Elephas maximus indicus: one gene and its partner. The protein of the gene in region 2 interacts with the protein of the main gene of each other region in a pairwise test. Links are inferred from orthologs where the notes say so. Each region holds a gene or a part of one and is shown on either strand. Other genes may lie near its edges.

Region 1 (6,990 bases), on a different chromosome or scaffold from region 2:
TACCCTGGGGAATAACCAAGAAATGGCTGAAAATGGAAGTGTGATGTATGGGGAACAGAAGTGTTGGGGCACAGTGTGAAGACAAACGTCAAGGAATGTATCATTAGGAAGGTCTCACAAGACATTGGGATAAGCCAAGATAAAAAAGAAGTCTTACATTTATGACTGTCCCTAAGGGTAACCGGGAATGAGGATGATCAATTTTTCTGGCTTCAAGCTTGCAAATGGAACTTTTTTTCTATATCAGCAAGCTGAGGCTCCAGGCATGTAAGAAGCCTTTTTAATACTACCAAATGTAATCTTGGTACGTTTACTGAAGACAAATTACATTACGAATCACTAGCAAAGTTTGTAGATTATTGGAAGCAGAACAGAATGGAAAGGAAAGGAAAAATGCATAATTCTAGACACCTATACTTTTTAAAGGATTAATAGGTCATTCAGACTCCCACTACCCTCCCCTATCCTCCAACTTTACCATTGTTATAAATGCTGAAGACAAGGATAGGTTCAGACTTCAGGTGGTGGTTCTCAACCAGGTATGAAAGACACACACACACACACACACACACGCTGCCACCTCAGGTGTTTCTGCAGTTCTTCCTTACAAATCCCTTGACACCTTCTAGATATTAGAAGCTGGTGAAGCAGGACAAAAGGAAGTTCTAGGGGTATAGAAGGCCTGATAACACTAGCAAATCAAAGTTTACCTGTGAAGACAGAAACAAGAATACATTCCTCTAACATAGAAAATAAGGAGTTAAGGAGTCAGAATTGACTAGAAAGCAATGGGTTTGATTTTTGGTTTTTTGAGTAAAAGCATAGGCAAGTTCAGTGGTGGAAGAAAGGAAAGTAGGGGATTTCACATCCCATGGCTTCACATTTCTCAGGGATGTAGGTGGCTAATCATCTGCTCAAAATAAATGGATCTGAGCAGTTAAGAAGAATGGAAAAGATCTGAAATAGACACTGTGGAAAATAGGAAGAGCAACAATAAGGGATGAGTAAAGATATCAATCTATATCAGCGATCTACTGAGATTAAAAAGCATAAATCTGTTACCAAGTCCATTACTGTGGTTTTAGATTTTCTTCAAAACTGTCTGGAGACCAGAAGTATACATTCAGTTACAACACAGGATAGGCGCTATAAGAGAAGAAACAAAAGACGCTATGGCTGAAGCAGTCGCATCATTAGAGGGGTGACACTGTCAGCGGGGATGACAACAAAATGACTATCTGTAAAACTTTTGTGCAGTATTTCAGCAGAAATTTATTACTTTTTATAAGAACATCCCTGTAGTTACAGCAACAAAAATATTTTTTGTAAACCCAGCTTATGTATCAATATACCTGCACAGTTAAAACTCTATGCTAATTTACTTTTTCAGCCTTGTATCGCGCTCCGATTAGAGTTGTCATTATTACCCAATTACGATGACGTTTTGAATCATGTAGTTTAGAGCTGTTGTTTTCGTTGCTGGTGTTTTTATAGTTGCTGATTTTGTCAAATTCTCTGGTGTTTTAGCTACAATATTGTGGTAATTAGTATTTATGAACCTGTATCAATAACTTTTTTGAGAATGAAGTAGTAATTAAAAGAAAAAAAATGAGTGATATATGGGAATTACAATTTATGAGTAGCAGTACAAAAAACATTATTAAGGATTCTGTATGGTCTGGTACCAGAGGAGGTCCACGAGGAGGGGAGGGGGAGGGAAGGTGACACAATGAGTTACCACATCGGGTAACACTAATTCTAGTGACGCCACTGCCTGAAGGCCAAAAGTTTTGAAGACTAAAACTTAGCCCTCCTGGAAGGGAGAGTCCTACAGGAGAGAAGTAATACATGCAGGAACACTTTACACCTTGGAAATTTCAACGCTCTGAGTTAACTCAGATATCTGAAATGTTAATAAGGGTTTTGCTTTTCTATTCGAACGGACCCAGCGACTCCATGTGAGAGAGGTCTAGCCATCAGCTCCGGTAAAGATTACAGCCTAGGAAACCCTATGGGGCAGTTCTACTCTGTCACAGGGGGTCGCTATGAGTGGACTCATCCGGACCGAACAACAACACTGTTCTTCTAAGGCTATCTGAACATGAAATTAAAGTTTTTTTATAACAGAGGTATTCCTGGTATAGTTAGATGCACAAGGAGCCAATATCCAACCATTTACATTTTTTCACCAGGATAAGAAATCATTAAATCACAATCACATGAGCTTCACGCAAATCCAACAGTTTATACAGATTTGTATTTAATGAATGCCAAAGGAAAAAAAATCTAAAAAACGACATTGTATTCTGCAACCATAAGTCAGAAAACGCTCATCTCGGCTGCCTCAACGAATGCAGCACTCCAGGCAAGAAACGAAAAGATAAAGTCGACCGGAAATCCTAACAAGCAATCCTTCCGGGCACCGGGATGTGTTTCGATGTGAGGAATTCAAGAAATGATTTAACCCAAGATACCGCCACAAGAAAGAAACCAGTACTAGCTTTTCCTTCACCGGGATATAACAATAAACATGTGGAAAGTGCACAATAAAGACTGCCCTGGAGGTCACCCGCGTGTTCACTAGGCCCGCCCTCAATCCCACACACCTTCCACACGGGGTGGCAAGCAAGCTCCTTCGCTCTCCTCCCACAACTCGGGGGTCAAAGCCGCAGCGCCCGCCTCGGAAGCGTTGAGCGGGCCCAGGCAACGAGGAAGACGGAGCCCGATCCCCGACTCGCTTGTCTCTGGAGACCAACCTTAGTGTCTCGGTTCTGCCACACCCCTCGTAGAGTCTTAATTTCGAGTTTTGAAGCTTCTCTCTCTCCTAACCACACTGCGATTCACCTTGTTTCCCTCCTCGTCGTTCAACTTTAACCGCGACCCGGGCAGCCCCGGTTACCTGATGACCACTCCCGTGGTCCAGTATTTACATTCCGCTTACCCTTTGCCCACAGGAAGCGGAAGTTATCTTGCCCAGCTCTTACTTCATTGCCCGAAGTGCCTGGTTTCCTAGGAAACGGAGTTGGCCGACTCAGGGCGTCCGAACGGCCCAGAGTAGAAGGCGGGAGAGAGGCGACACTCGGGGGCGCTCTCGTCCGCCAATCTCTGCACTAGGACCACAAATCCCAGAAGCCACTGCGCTCCCCCGGCCGCATTATCCTCGGGGATTTGTAGTGCGGCCGTCCGGGCCGGGAGCGCCATCTGCAGCCCGGAGCGACCGACAGGCCAGGGTCCGCAGTGCGGGAGCGCAGCAAATTCGGCTGCGCTAGCTGAGGTGCGCGCAGAGAGAAGCAGCCCTGGCCTTCCCGCGCGGCCCGCCCAGTCGGAGGGTAAAGCTAGCAAGGCGCGAGAAAGACGATTTTTAGGGGGTTTCAGAGGAGTTTACAACCTAGCTGAGGAGGCGGGCCAGACGCAGAGAACAGAGAGCAAAACTCGATTGAAAAAGGTTTAAAGAAGGGCGAGGTCAGGGAGGGCAGGGTTGAACTGTAGGCATCACGTGGGCACTAACAGATTGGATCCAGCAGAGAATTATCACCTGAAGGTAACAATGGTTAATGTCTTGAAAATAACTAAGTGGGCAAATGTAGCACAGATAAATGTTCAGGAAGCTTAAAAGTTGTTAGGTGCCATGGAGGCGTTTCCCACTCGAGCAACCCTGTGTACAACAGAACGGAACACTGCCCGGTCCTTGCCATCTTCACAGTCGTTGCTATGTTTGAGTCCAGCGTTGCAGCCACTGCATCAGTCCATCTCATTGAGGGTCTTCCTCTTTCACTGACCCCTCTACTTTATCAAGCATGACGTCCTTCTCCAGGGATTGGTCCCTCGAGTAACATGTCCAAAGTACTGAGACAAGTCTCTCTATCCTTGATTCTAAGGAGCTTTCTGGTTGAACTTCTTCCAGGACAGATTTGTTCATTCTTCTGGCAGTTAATGGTGTATATTCAGTATTCTTTTCCCATAATTATTTTCCAATAATTCAAAGGCATCAATTTTCAATCTTCCATATTCATCGTCCACCTTTTGCATGTGTATGAGGCAATTAAAAATACCATGGCTTCGGTCAGGCACACCTTAGTCCTCAAAGTGACATCTTTGCTTTTTAGCACTTTAAGGAGATCTTTTGCAGCAGATTTGCCCAATGCAATTGTTTTTTGAATTCTTGACTGCCACTTCCATGGATGTTGATTGTGGATCTAAATAAAATGAAATCTTTGACAACTTCAGTATTTTCTCTGTTTATCATGACGTTGCATATTGGTCCAGTTGTGAGGATTTTTGTTTTATGTTGAGGCATAATCCATACTGAAGGCTGTGGTCTTTGATCTTCATTATTTTAAGTGGTTCAAGTACTCTTCACTTTGAGCAAGCAAGGTTGTGTCATCTGCGTAACGCAGGTTGTTAATGAGTCTTCTTCCAATCCTGATGCCCTGTTGTTCTTCATATAGTCCAGCTTCTGGAATTATTTGCTCAGTATGCAGATTGAATGAGTATGGTGAAAGGATACAGCTCTGACGCACACCTTTTCTGACTTTAAACCATGTAGCATCCCCTTGTTTTGCTTGAAGGACTGACTTCTTGGTCTGTGTACAGGTTCTACATGAGCACAATAAAGTGTTCTACGTGAGCACAATAAAGTGTTCTGTAATTCCCATTCTCCACAGTGTCATCCATAATTTGTTAGGATTCACACAATTCATTGCCTTTGCACAGTCATAAAACACAGGTAAACATTTTTCTGATATTGTCTGTTTTCAGCAAAGATCTGACATCAGTAATGATATCCCTCATTCCAAGTCCTCTTCTGAGTCCAGCTTGAGTATCTGGCAATTCCTTGATGTACTGCTGCAACTGTTTTTGAATTATCTTCAGCAAAATTTTACTTGCATGTGATATTAATGATATTGTTCAATAATTTCCATGTTCTGTTTTCTTTGGAATGGGCACAAATACGGATTTCTTCCAGTCGGTTGGCCAGGTAGCTGTCTTCCGAATTTCTTGGCATACATGAGTGAGTACTTCCAGTGTTGCATCCGTTTGTTAAACATCTCAATTGGTATTCCATCAATTCCTGGGGCCTTGTTTTTCGCCAGTGCCTTCAGTGCAGCATAGACTTCTTCCCTTCAGTACCACCAGTTCTCGATCATATGCTGCCTCTCGAGGTGGTTGTTACTTTACCCATGTAGCTATCTTGTGCAAGAGAAGGCAATTTTTGTAGACCATTTACTTAAATACCACACTATTGACATTTTGGGCAAATATTTCTTTGTAGCGGGGGCTGCCCTGTGCATTGTAGAGTGTTTAGTAGCTTCCCTGGTTTACTGGCATCCCAGTAGATGCACACACACACACACACACACACACACACCCTGCAGTTGTGACAACCAAAAATGTCTCCAGACATTTCCAACTAGAAGTGTGGGGAGGTGTCATCTCCTCCTCCCCCTGCCTTTTTGAGAACCACCGATGTGGGGCAATGATTCTCAAAGTGTAAGCCTCAGACTCCTGAGTTTCGCCGAGACCACTTTAGTAGTCCTCCAAGTCACAACTTTCATACTAATAGGAAGATATGATTTATTAAAATGACTCAAGTAAACATCTTTTTAACATTGTGTGACAAAATGGGAAGTACTCAAAAGCACTTCTTCTGCATTCTGAAGTACAGTGTTGTCTCAAGGAAAACACCTGTGACACTGCACTATAAACTAGACTTTTCCCATAGAATACAACATTCAGAAGAATGAATGACAGACTGGTTATTTGACAGGCCCTTTCTTAAAAATGAACAAAGGGACCCTGTTACCTCAAGAAAAACAATTGACAACACTTGTTGCTAATGATAAAATTCAAGGTTCTAAGTAATAAACAGAATTTTGGAAAACTTACATTCATCATCCTGATCTTGACAGCTTCTTGATACTTCAGTACTTTTCTAATGACATCTGTGGTAATATTATCAGATATGATTTTTATTTATATTGTTTGATGAAATGTGTTAACATTTGGAAGACTGCATAAGGAAACTCAATGGATGATTGTAGGTGTCAGCTTCCAAGGCCTCCAAGGATCCTACCGCCTGGTATTCACAACCTGGTGTAGTTCTGTCCCACATGTACCAGGATTGGTCTGTATTACATATAAAATAGAGCAGAAATGATATATATCACTTCAGAGATTAGTCATAAAAGACACTCAAGTGAGGACAGTGTTTCTTAATCTAGGTCATTTTACATGACCATCTCCACTGAAAATTCAACCTGAATACTAACGACTTGTGCATTCTTCTGTATATACCTCTATTAGGTTTTTTTTTTTTTAAATACGTATCTCCTTAACAAACTCCTCAGCAAGATTGTCTTATTTATAGTCACATTCATAGTGCTTGGTTTATAGTAACCATATGCAATGATATAGTTTACAGAAAATGGATAATAGTGCTTGGAGCTCAACCCCTTTCTAGGGGTCTTTCCAAAATCTCTCAAATAACTGATCCACTCCGCTCTGGTAAAGGCTACCCCCTACTAGGATTTTACACTGCACCCACCACTTGCTACTTACTTTAGTCTATGATCTTAATGCACCTGTTGGTATATTTAATGTTTCCTGTGCTGTCTTTTTATAGACATCATGATCATCTTCCAAGTTGCGAGTAATCCTCTAAATTTGTCATACCTAACATTTATTCACATTTATAATGTGCTCAGCACTTGGAACAGTTCAATAAATATTAGCTACTATAACAAATATTATTTTTCAAACAAAAGAATTTTTTGTATGATTTGACACAGTCAGGGTAAATACCTAGAACAATTTGTAAATTCCCTCACTGAACAGCCTTATATGCTGTTTGGAGCCCTGCTGGCACAGTGGTTAAGAGCACAGCTGCCAACCTAAAAAAAAAAAAAACCTAACGGTCACTTCAAATCCACCAGCCACTCCTTGGAAACCCTGTGGGGCAGTTCTACTTACTTACAGGGTTGCCGTGAATTG
Region 2 (8,070 bases):
GGGCTATTCTTTATCTTGTCATATTTCTTCTTTTAAATAAGATATCCCTGGACCCTAGGATCTGGTGGCAGGCTGCTTTCCACCACCTCTAACTCTCACCACCAGCACCTCTCATCTGAACTACCGCAGTAGCTCTGTAAGTCACCGCCTGGTGCTCCACGGTCAGTTCTCTGCACAGCAGCCAGGGTGAGCGTCTAAAAACCACACCACTCCCCTGCTCAACACCCTCTGATGGCCCAGTCCCAGGCAGAATGAGTGGAAATCTTTACCACACCACACAAAAACCCACACTGCCGGGCCCCTGCCTCCCTCCTCTCTTGTGGCTCTGTCCTTCACTCTCCACCCTGTCCTGGCCACACAGGCCCCCTCTCAATTTCTCGAACACGCCACACTCATGTCTGCTCTCAGGATCCCTTGCACCTGCTGTCCTCTATGCCTGGAACATTCTCCCCCAGATCTAGGCAGGGTAACACCCTTCTTTTAGGCAGGTCTCTGCTCAACTGTATAAAAGTTCTTGGGTGGTGCAAACGATTTGTGCTCAAATACTAACCTAAAGGTTGGCAGTTCAAACCCGCCCTGTGGCACCACAGAAGACAGTCCTGGAGATATGCTTTCGTAAAGACTACAGCCCAAGAAAACCCTACGGAGCAGTTCTACTCTGTAGCACGTGGGGTTGCCGTAAGTCAGAATCGACGCAGTGGCTAAAGGTCTGGTTTTGATTTGGTTTCTGCTCAAATGTATGTATATAGAGACAAACATAATAGGAAACAATATGGCAGAACTGAGACCAGACTCATCAGTTATATCAGTAACTGACAATGAGTTCAATTCACCAATCAAAATGAATGAGCTCAGCAAATCCAACTCTATGACTATGTAAGAGCATCCCTACAACATGGAGATTCAGAAAGTTTACAAAGAAAACGACGGGCAAAAGAACATTAAGACCCTCAGAGGGGTCTTGCCTGAAGACCCCCACATCACTCACTGTCTCCTCCCACCCCACTCTAATTCTCCTACAGAACTTACCACCAGCTTAAGAGCTATTTTTTTATCCATCTCTCCCAGCAGACTGTCAGCTTCACAAGCACTGAGATTTTATCACATTTAATGTGTGCCCCAGAGCCTAGAACCCTGCCTGACATGATACTTAGCACTCACATTTGTTTAATGAACAATTTTTCAAAGTGGAAATAGTCTTATTTTCTGTGAAAGAAACTAATGCTCACTGTTAAAAAATTATTCAGATCACACTGCAAGATGTAAGTGTGGGTATCACTATTCTTGCCTTGTTAGTGTTTCTTATTGATTTAAGTAAACCTTTATATATGAAGAATAGTGGTTCTTTTAGTCATGTGTGGCAAATCTCACTCTACTCCTCTTCAGTTTGCTACTGGGTTACTTTCCATGCAGAATTTATACTGATTTTGTGGAAAACTCTGTCTAGTTCTTGGTTTCAGTGTCATGTTCAAGAAGATATTCTCCAGAGATTAAAAAAAAAAAAATACATTCACCTAAATTTTCTTCAAATATTTGAATTAAAAAGTAAATATTTAACTTGATTTTTTAAAGTATATATATATATATATATATATATGCATGCTTTTGAAATTAAAATATAAATTAATACCAAGTTTAGAAGGCGGTTAAGAGCCTGGAATTCCAACCCCTTTACCTACTATCTGTGCTACCTTGGACAAGTTTACATTTTTATGCCTCAGTTTCATCATCTGTAAAGTGGGGACAGAGTCAACACTCAATAACTTTTTGCTGTTTGCTATATTACATGAATGTTCTACTCTATATTTTAATTCACTTTTATACTTTCTTCACTCTACATATGGAAAATTTTCAGTATTTTTCACCTTTGGGGAAACCAAGGCTCTGGTGGAAGGCACTTGCAAAAGAGTTATATTTCTTTAAGAAGAAATTCGCATTAGCTAAGGATCCATCGTAAAGCATCAGGGGTAAAACAAAGTCAACGTTTATTCCACACCAGCCTTTTTAGTAAGGTATTACGCGTTAAATCGGCTTCCTCCAAAGCATAGAGAAGGTATAAAACACCCCATCCTCTGGGAGTGGTTCCCAAACTTAAGCCCCAGAAAACCAAACCCACTGCCATCAAGTCGATTCTGAATCATATCGACCCTACAGGACAGAGTAGAACTGCCCTCACAGGGTTTCCAAGGAGCGGACGGTGGATTCAAACTGCCGACCTTTTAGTTAGCGGCCTGAGCTCTTAACCACTAGCCGAATCAATCTATTGAGGGTACTTTTTAAAACACGTATTTCTGGGGCCCACACCAGGAGGGTCTGATAACCGGCCAGGCGTAGGAGTCACTTACTCCCTTACTTTAGAGAGATATTATTCTCATTTGGCAGAGAGGTTAAAAGCTCAGGTACTAACCAAAAGGTCGGTAGTTCAAATCCACCAGCCGCTCCTTGGAAACCCTACGGGGCAGTTCTACCACGTCCTATAGGGTCGCTACGAGTTGGAATCAACTCCACGGCAACGGGTTTGGGTTTTTTTTTGGAACCTGAAGCCCAGAGAAGTCCTGTCTTAACCAAGATCATATTCACACATGCCAGAGCCACTGGGTCCTCATCCGTTAGCCTCCATACCTTTGAGTAATCACCACCCTCCTTCCTGGCCTGGAGAACTCCTACTCATCCTTCAGAACCCTGCTCTATAAGTGGTTTCATCTGCGAAGCCTGGGCTGCCCTTTGTTAATCAGACCCCTTCCAAGCCTTCCTGCCACCACCCTCGCTGCCGGACCGGGGCTCCTCAAAGGCCCAGCCCAGCCTGGGGCATCTCCAGCTCCGGGGGGCCCCGCCGGGAAGGCAACGAGCGCCCATACAGTCCTGCCTGCCTCTGCCTGAAGCGGGCTGTACCTCCATGATTATGGGCAGCCAGGCGTGCTGGTTCTCGTCCAAATACACGGCCTTCTCCCAGAACCACAGGCGGTCCGGGTGCAAGACCGACTGCGCACTGGAGCGCCGCTGCTGGGCCATGGAGCCTGGGGCAGTCAAGGAGGACAAGCACGGCGCCACTCGCCGCCACTCGCTGATCGGAGGGATGCACGGCCCCGACGCATTTATAGCGGACCTCGCACAGCGCCCCCAGGTGGCGGGGCGGGAGGAGGGCGGGGCGCGAGGCGGAGAGTGGGGCGGGGCGGAGGGCGGGGCGGAGCGGAAAAGGGCAGGGTGTGGCGGGAGAAAGGGGTGAGCCGGCGAGGAGTGGCGCGGGCGTGGCTGTGCCCTCGAGTAAGATCGGGGGCAGCCCTGAGGCCCAGGCCCCAGCCCCAGGGGTTCCTGGAGTTCCCAGCCAGCCGTCCCGCCCAGCCCCCACACCCCACTGCTGGCCGGGTACCTTGCTCTATGACCCTGGTCCTTTCTGCTGTCGCGAGGCGCCGTTGTGGCGTCAGGACCCCACTGTCCGGAACCACTGCGTGTGGCTGGTCAAGCCAACCCTGGACTGGGGGCTCCAGGCCTCTGCTGAACTCGCAGGCTACCCTTGACCCCAGGCACCTGGAGCCAGTGGCCCTCCAACTCTTCTGGGCCTGAAAGCCCCTGCGGCCTGACCCAGGCCTCGGCTTCCCTGGCTCACAGAATCTGTGTCCTTGGCAACACTGCAATTCTTGAAGTGCCCCCTCCGCCCAGGCACACATTTTCCACGGCTTTGATGATGCTGTGGTTGTCTAATAGCTATTGTGAAACAAGGTGATGAAGAAACATGGGCCGTTCCCTTTATAGGCTCTGAATTCATTAGAGAAAGCGTAGCTCAAAATGAATGCTTGGAAAGAAACCCCTCCGCCCCAAGATCAATGGAGTTGAAAAGTCCCTGGGTTATGTGATCAAACTGTCCCTGGAAGTTACAGCAAATAAGGAAAATAATTTCACTTCATGTTGGAGTAACACATGCCCATTAAGACAATTAAGAACATAAAGGACAAGGGAAAAAATGTGAAACCATTTCCAGCCTCTTTGCTGAAATAGCATGACTGGTCACGGTTGGGTGCCTGGCCTTTCAGTTCTCTCCCATCTTTCTGATTAAAAAAAAAAAAAATTGCCACCAAGTCATTTCTGACTCATGGCCACCCTGTGTGTGCAGATTAGAACTGCCTTCCTTAGCCTTCCTTAGGGTTTTCAAGGTGGTGACCTTTCAGAAGCAGATCACCAGGCTTTCTTTCAAGGCCCCCCTGAGTGGGTTGGAACCACAACCTTTCGGCTAGTAGTCATTTGCACTGCCCAGGGACTCCTTTCTGACTGGGCACCAAGAAAATAATTTGGGATCCTTTGAAATGTCGTAAAGGTGAAAATGAGTTTGATGTCTGATCCCCTGACAGCAAAGGTGAGTATTTGCTTCTCCGCGTATCCAGCTAGCCTAATTCCCAAGAATGAGCTGAGGTAGCCTGAGGTAATAGCGATATGATTGGATTTACCGGGAGCACAACAGAAGACAAAAGCCTAACAAAGCTCTTTCCAAGTGAAGCCCATAGTGGTGTTGGCATTTAATATTCAGACTGCTGGCTTTCAGGCTGAATTCCCTGTGGACCGTCCTTGACTAAATAGCCACTGGGAGTGAGATGAGATGAAAATGGTGGGAACAGGCTCTATGGGGGAAGTCGCAGCCTGGTCCAGAGCTTTGAGGTCAGAAATGATAGCAAGTTCCAGCTTAAGCAGCACCTCTGGCGTGGACTCTTGTGGCAATTAAGGAGCATCCAGGAGCCAGTGTGGCTACTGACCCAGTCACCTCATTTGCCCCAGGACTCACTGGGTCAGCTGTTCTAATTAGCACTCACTCTGCTTTTGGAGAATCAGAGGCCTTTTGGCTGGATAAGCTTGCGAATCTTCCAGGAATGAGGTTCCCTCCCCGCACCTCCACCACCCTTTGGAAGGACAATGTATTTCTTCAGTTTCACACTGGGGCGTCTTAGTATTAAGCAAAAGTATATGTTATTCCTGTGCGGGACTTAGAAAATTATTTGAGAATGGGTTCCAAAAAATGAAAAGTAAAATAAGGATGGCCCAGAAGGTTAATGGTTTCTCTGGCGTCTTTGAGCCTTTTTCATGGAAATTCCACAGGAGGGGAAACAATAGCCATTGTGTAGTCCTGGGGAACTGGGAATGTGTGTGTGTGTGGGAGCCTCCAGCATGTTATCTACATCATCTTAGGGCTTTCAGTCTATTCCTTGGTAACTTTGTCCTTTAATGGTCTGCGAGGTTCCCCCGAGAATAATCAAGTGGATGTTCTGTGAAGAAAATAACCCAAAACAGTTATTTTGACTCATATTGACAGAATCCTTAACTGATGCCCTCATGTCTTGACTTGGACCCAGTGTTGACTTTGCTACTACCACCTGTGAACTTGGCAGAACCTCTGCCGTCTGGGCCATACTTTTGTAATGAATGGACCAAGCTAGATATGCTCTAAACCCATTTTCAACTCAACCATGATGAAGTTGCCTATTGGGAAGTGAGAATAGACAAAAGCTGGACAAGCTCATGATATTAGTTCAGGAATGTCATGAGCAGAGTGGACATTAAGGCCCTCAGTGGAATTCACTCTTCGGGAGTGAGGAAGCCATCCTTCCTGTTTGGGTTCCAAAGAAGGATGCTGAGGGTGAGTCGTGGCCATAGTATTATCTAGAGCCTTGTTCCTCTAAGTGTGTTCCCTAGACCAGCAACCATTGTCCATCAGAAGGGGCGGCACCAAAATGACTCTCCATAAAATTTTCGTCAGTGTTCCAGTAGAAATTTATTATTTTTTATAAAAATATCACTGTAGTTAGTTACAACAACAAAAACATTTTTTGTAAACCCAGCTTACAGGTATCAATATACCTACAAGGCTGAAACTCTATGCTAATTTACTTTTGAGCCTGTTAATGCCCTCAGGTCAGAGCCGCCATTATTACTCAATTACAATGATGCTTTCAATCACATGGTTTTGCCCACAGGTGCTACAAGCACACACTTGTTTTCGTTGCTGCTGGTATTTTTATAGCCTCTGATTTTGTCAAATTTTCTGATGTTTTAGCTACAATATTGTGGTAATTAGTATTTGTGAACTTATATCAATAACTCTTTTGAGAAGAAAGTAGTAATTAAAGGAAAAGGAGTGATATACCAAAATTATGATTTATGTACAAAAACATTGCAAAGGATTCTGTATGGTCTGGTATGGGAGGAGGTCCATGCAGGGGTGACACCATGAGTAATTGCACTGAGTAACACCAATCCTAGTGACGCCACTGCCAGCAACATCAGCATCACCTGGAGCTTATGAGAATTGCAGAGCCTTGAGGCCCACTGCAGACCTGCTGAGTCATAATCTGTGTTTTAACAAGATCCCTGAGTGAGTCGTGGGCACATTTAGTGCTGGTCTAGGGGAACAATTAGGGGGAAGTGGCGGTGGGTGTCTGTCTCATGCCATCAGTGCTCTCTAGAGTTCTTTAACTATGACGCAGGAATTGAATAGGTATCTCTGTATCATTTAGTTCCCGGTTATCTTTTGTTATGTTAAAATCACTTCCAATATATACTGTTTTCCTCTTAAGAGAAAATCCTGGCAATTAAGGTCCTCTTAACCAATTTCAATGATTGTAGCTAGCTGTAAAGACTCTACGTAGAGGTTACTAAGGTGTCCCTGCCTCTGGGCCCCTACGCTGATTGGCCCTAAACCACTAGGCCAGTGCAATCCTGGCTGCCTATTAGAAACACCTGGAAAGTGTTGATAAACTACCTGATCCTCGACCCCAACCCAAACCAATTAAATTAGAATCTTTGCGTGATAAGGCTTGGGGAACAGCCAGGGTTGAGAGCCAATCCCACACCCTAAGATTTGGGTTACTGTTTTTGAGGTGTGAATGAGGTTTGTAAAACGAAATAACCGTGAAAATTTTAGAGCTGTTCTGGTCCTCAATGTAAACCTCACCCTGACCTGTAGTCTATATCTTTCCCTTTGCTCTAGTTTAAATTTGTTGCTTCCAATCTTTTCTGGGCAGTGAAACATAGCATCAAATTTATTAGGATTGTAATCTCTCCAATGAGTAAAACACAGAAGCCCTGAGATGTAGAACCTAAGGCATCCATACTTGTCACCTGGGGTCTTTTTTCAAGGATTCTTGGGTCTGGGCCATATTTTGGATAATTGAGACTGTTGATCATATGAGCACAGTTTGAAAAAATAGTTATAATCTTTACCCATAAGAGATAAAATTCTATTTCTAAATTAACGGGCAATCTGGGATGACAAGGATATTCTGCACAGAGCTCAGACTGACCATAGCTTTGGCCACTGCATGGCTATGATCTTTCTTTAAACTGAACAGAGTTTTAAGTGCTTCTCAAACCTTAGAGAAGTTTGAGAACCCCCAGGTGTCTGTCAGTTTGTCGTACTGTGGGGGCTTGCGTATTGCTGCGATGCTGGAAGCTGTGCCACCAGTATTCAAATACCAGCAGGGCCATCCATGGCAGACAGGTTTCAGCTAAGCTTCCAGACTAAGACAGACTAGGAATAAGGACTGGTGGTCTACTTCCGAAAAGAATTAGCCAGTGAAAACCTTCTGAATTATATATGATCAGGAACCAGGGGTACTTTAGGAAGAAGTCCAAGCTGCACTGAAGGCATTCGTGAAAAACAAGTATCCCGGGAATTGACGGGATACCAACTGAGATGTTTCAGCAAACACATGCGGTGCTAGAAGCACTCACTCATCTACGTGGAGAAATTTGGAAGACAGCTACCTGGCCAACTGACTGGAAGAGATCTACACTTGTGCCCATTTCAAAGAAAGGTGATCCAACTGAATGAGGACGTTACCAAATAATATCATTAATATCACGTGCAAGTGAAATATTACTGAAGATAATTCAAAAATGATTGCAGCAGTTCAGGTGGACACTGGAGAGCATGTTGGCAACTCTTGACTGGAGGGGGGATGGGAAGATAGAAAGAGAGGGAAGACGGCAAAATTGGCACGAAACGAGAGACTGAAAGGGCTGACTCAATAGGGGGAGAGCAAGTGGGAGAAGGGAGTAAGATGTATGTAAACTTACATGTGACAG

What was found. The genes of interacting proteins can lie anywhere in the genome.
Region 1: the proteins of TCL1A (region 2) and TTC33 interact in binary tests that used the Homo sapiens proteins (3 or more experiments, as listed by UniProt). The two-hybrid records come from large-scale screens. The link is inferred for Elephas maximus indicus from reciprocal best matches to the Homo sapiens genes TCL1A and TTC33.

The regions. Positions count from the first base shown.
Region 1 is NC_064820.1:46,838,671-46,845,660, forward strand, and holds the start of TTC33 (tetratricopeptide repeat protein 33), read right to left. Parts: upstream 3,007-6,990; 5' UTR 2,990-3,006; coding exon 2,985-2,989; exon of another isoform or gene 2,942-2,984; intron 2,937-2,941; exon of another isoform or gene 2,607-2,936; intron 1,162-2,606; exon of another isoform or gene 1,063-1,161; intron 1-1,062.
Region 2 is NC_064828.1:109,306,498-109,314,567, forward strand, and holds the start of TCL1A (T-cell leukemia/lymphoma protein 1A), read right to left. Parts: upstream 3,013-8,070; coding exon 2,893-3,012; intron 1-2,892. UniProt on the Homo sapiens protein: Enhances the phosphorylation and activation of AKT1, AKT2 and AKT3. Promotes nuclear translocation of AKT1. Enhances cell proliferation, stabilizes mitochondrial membrane potential and promotes cell survival.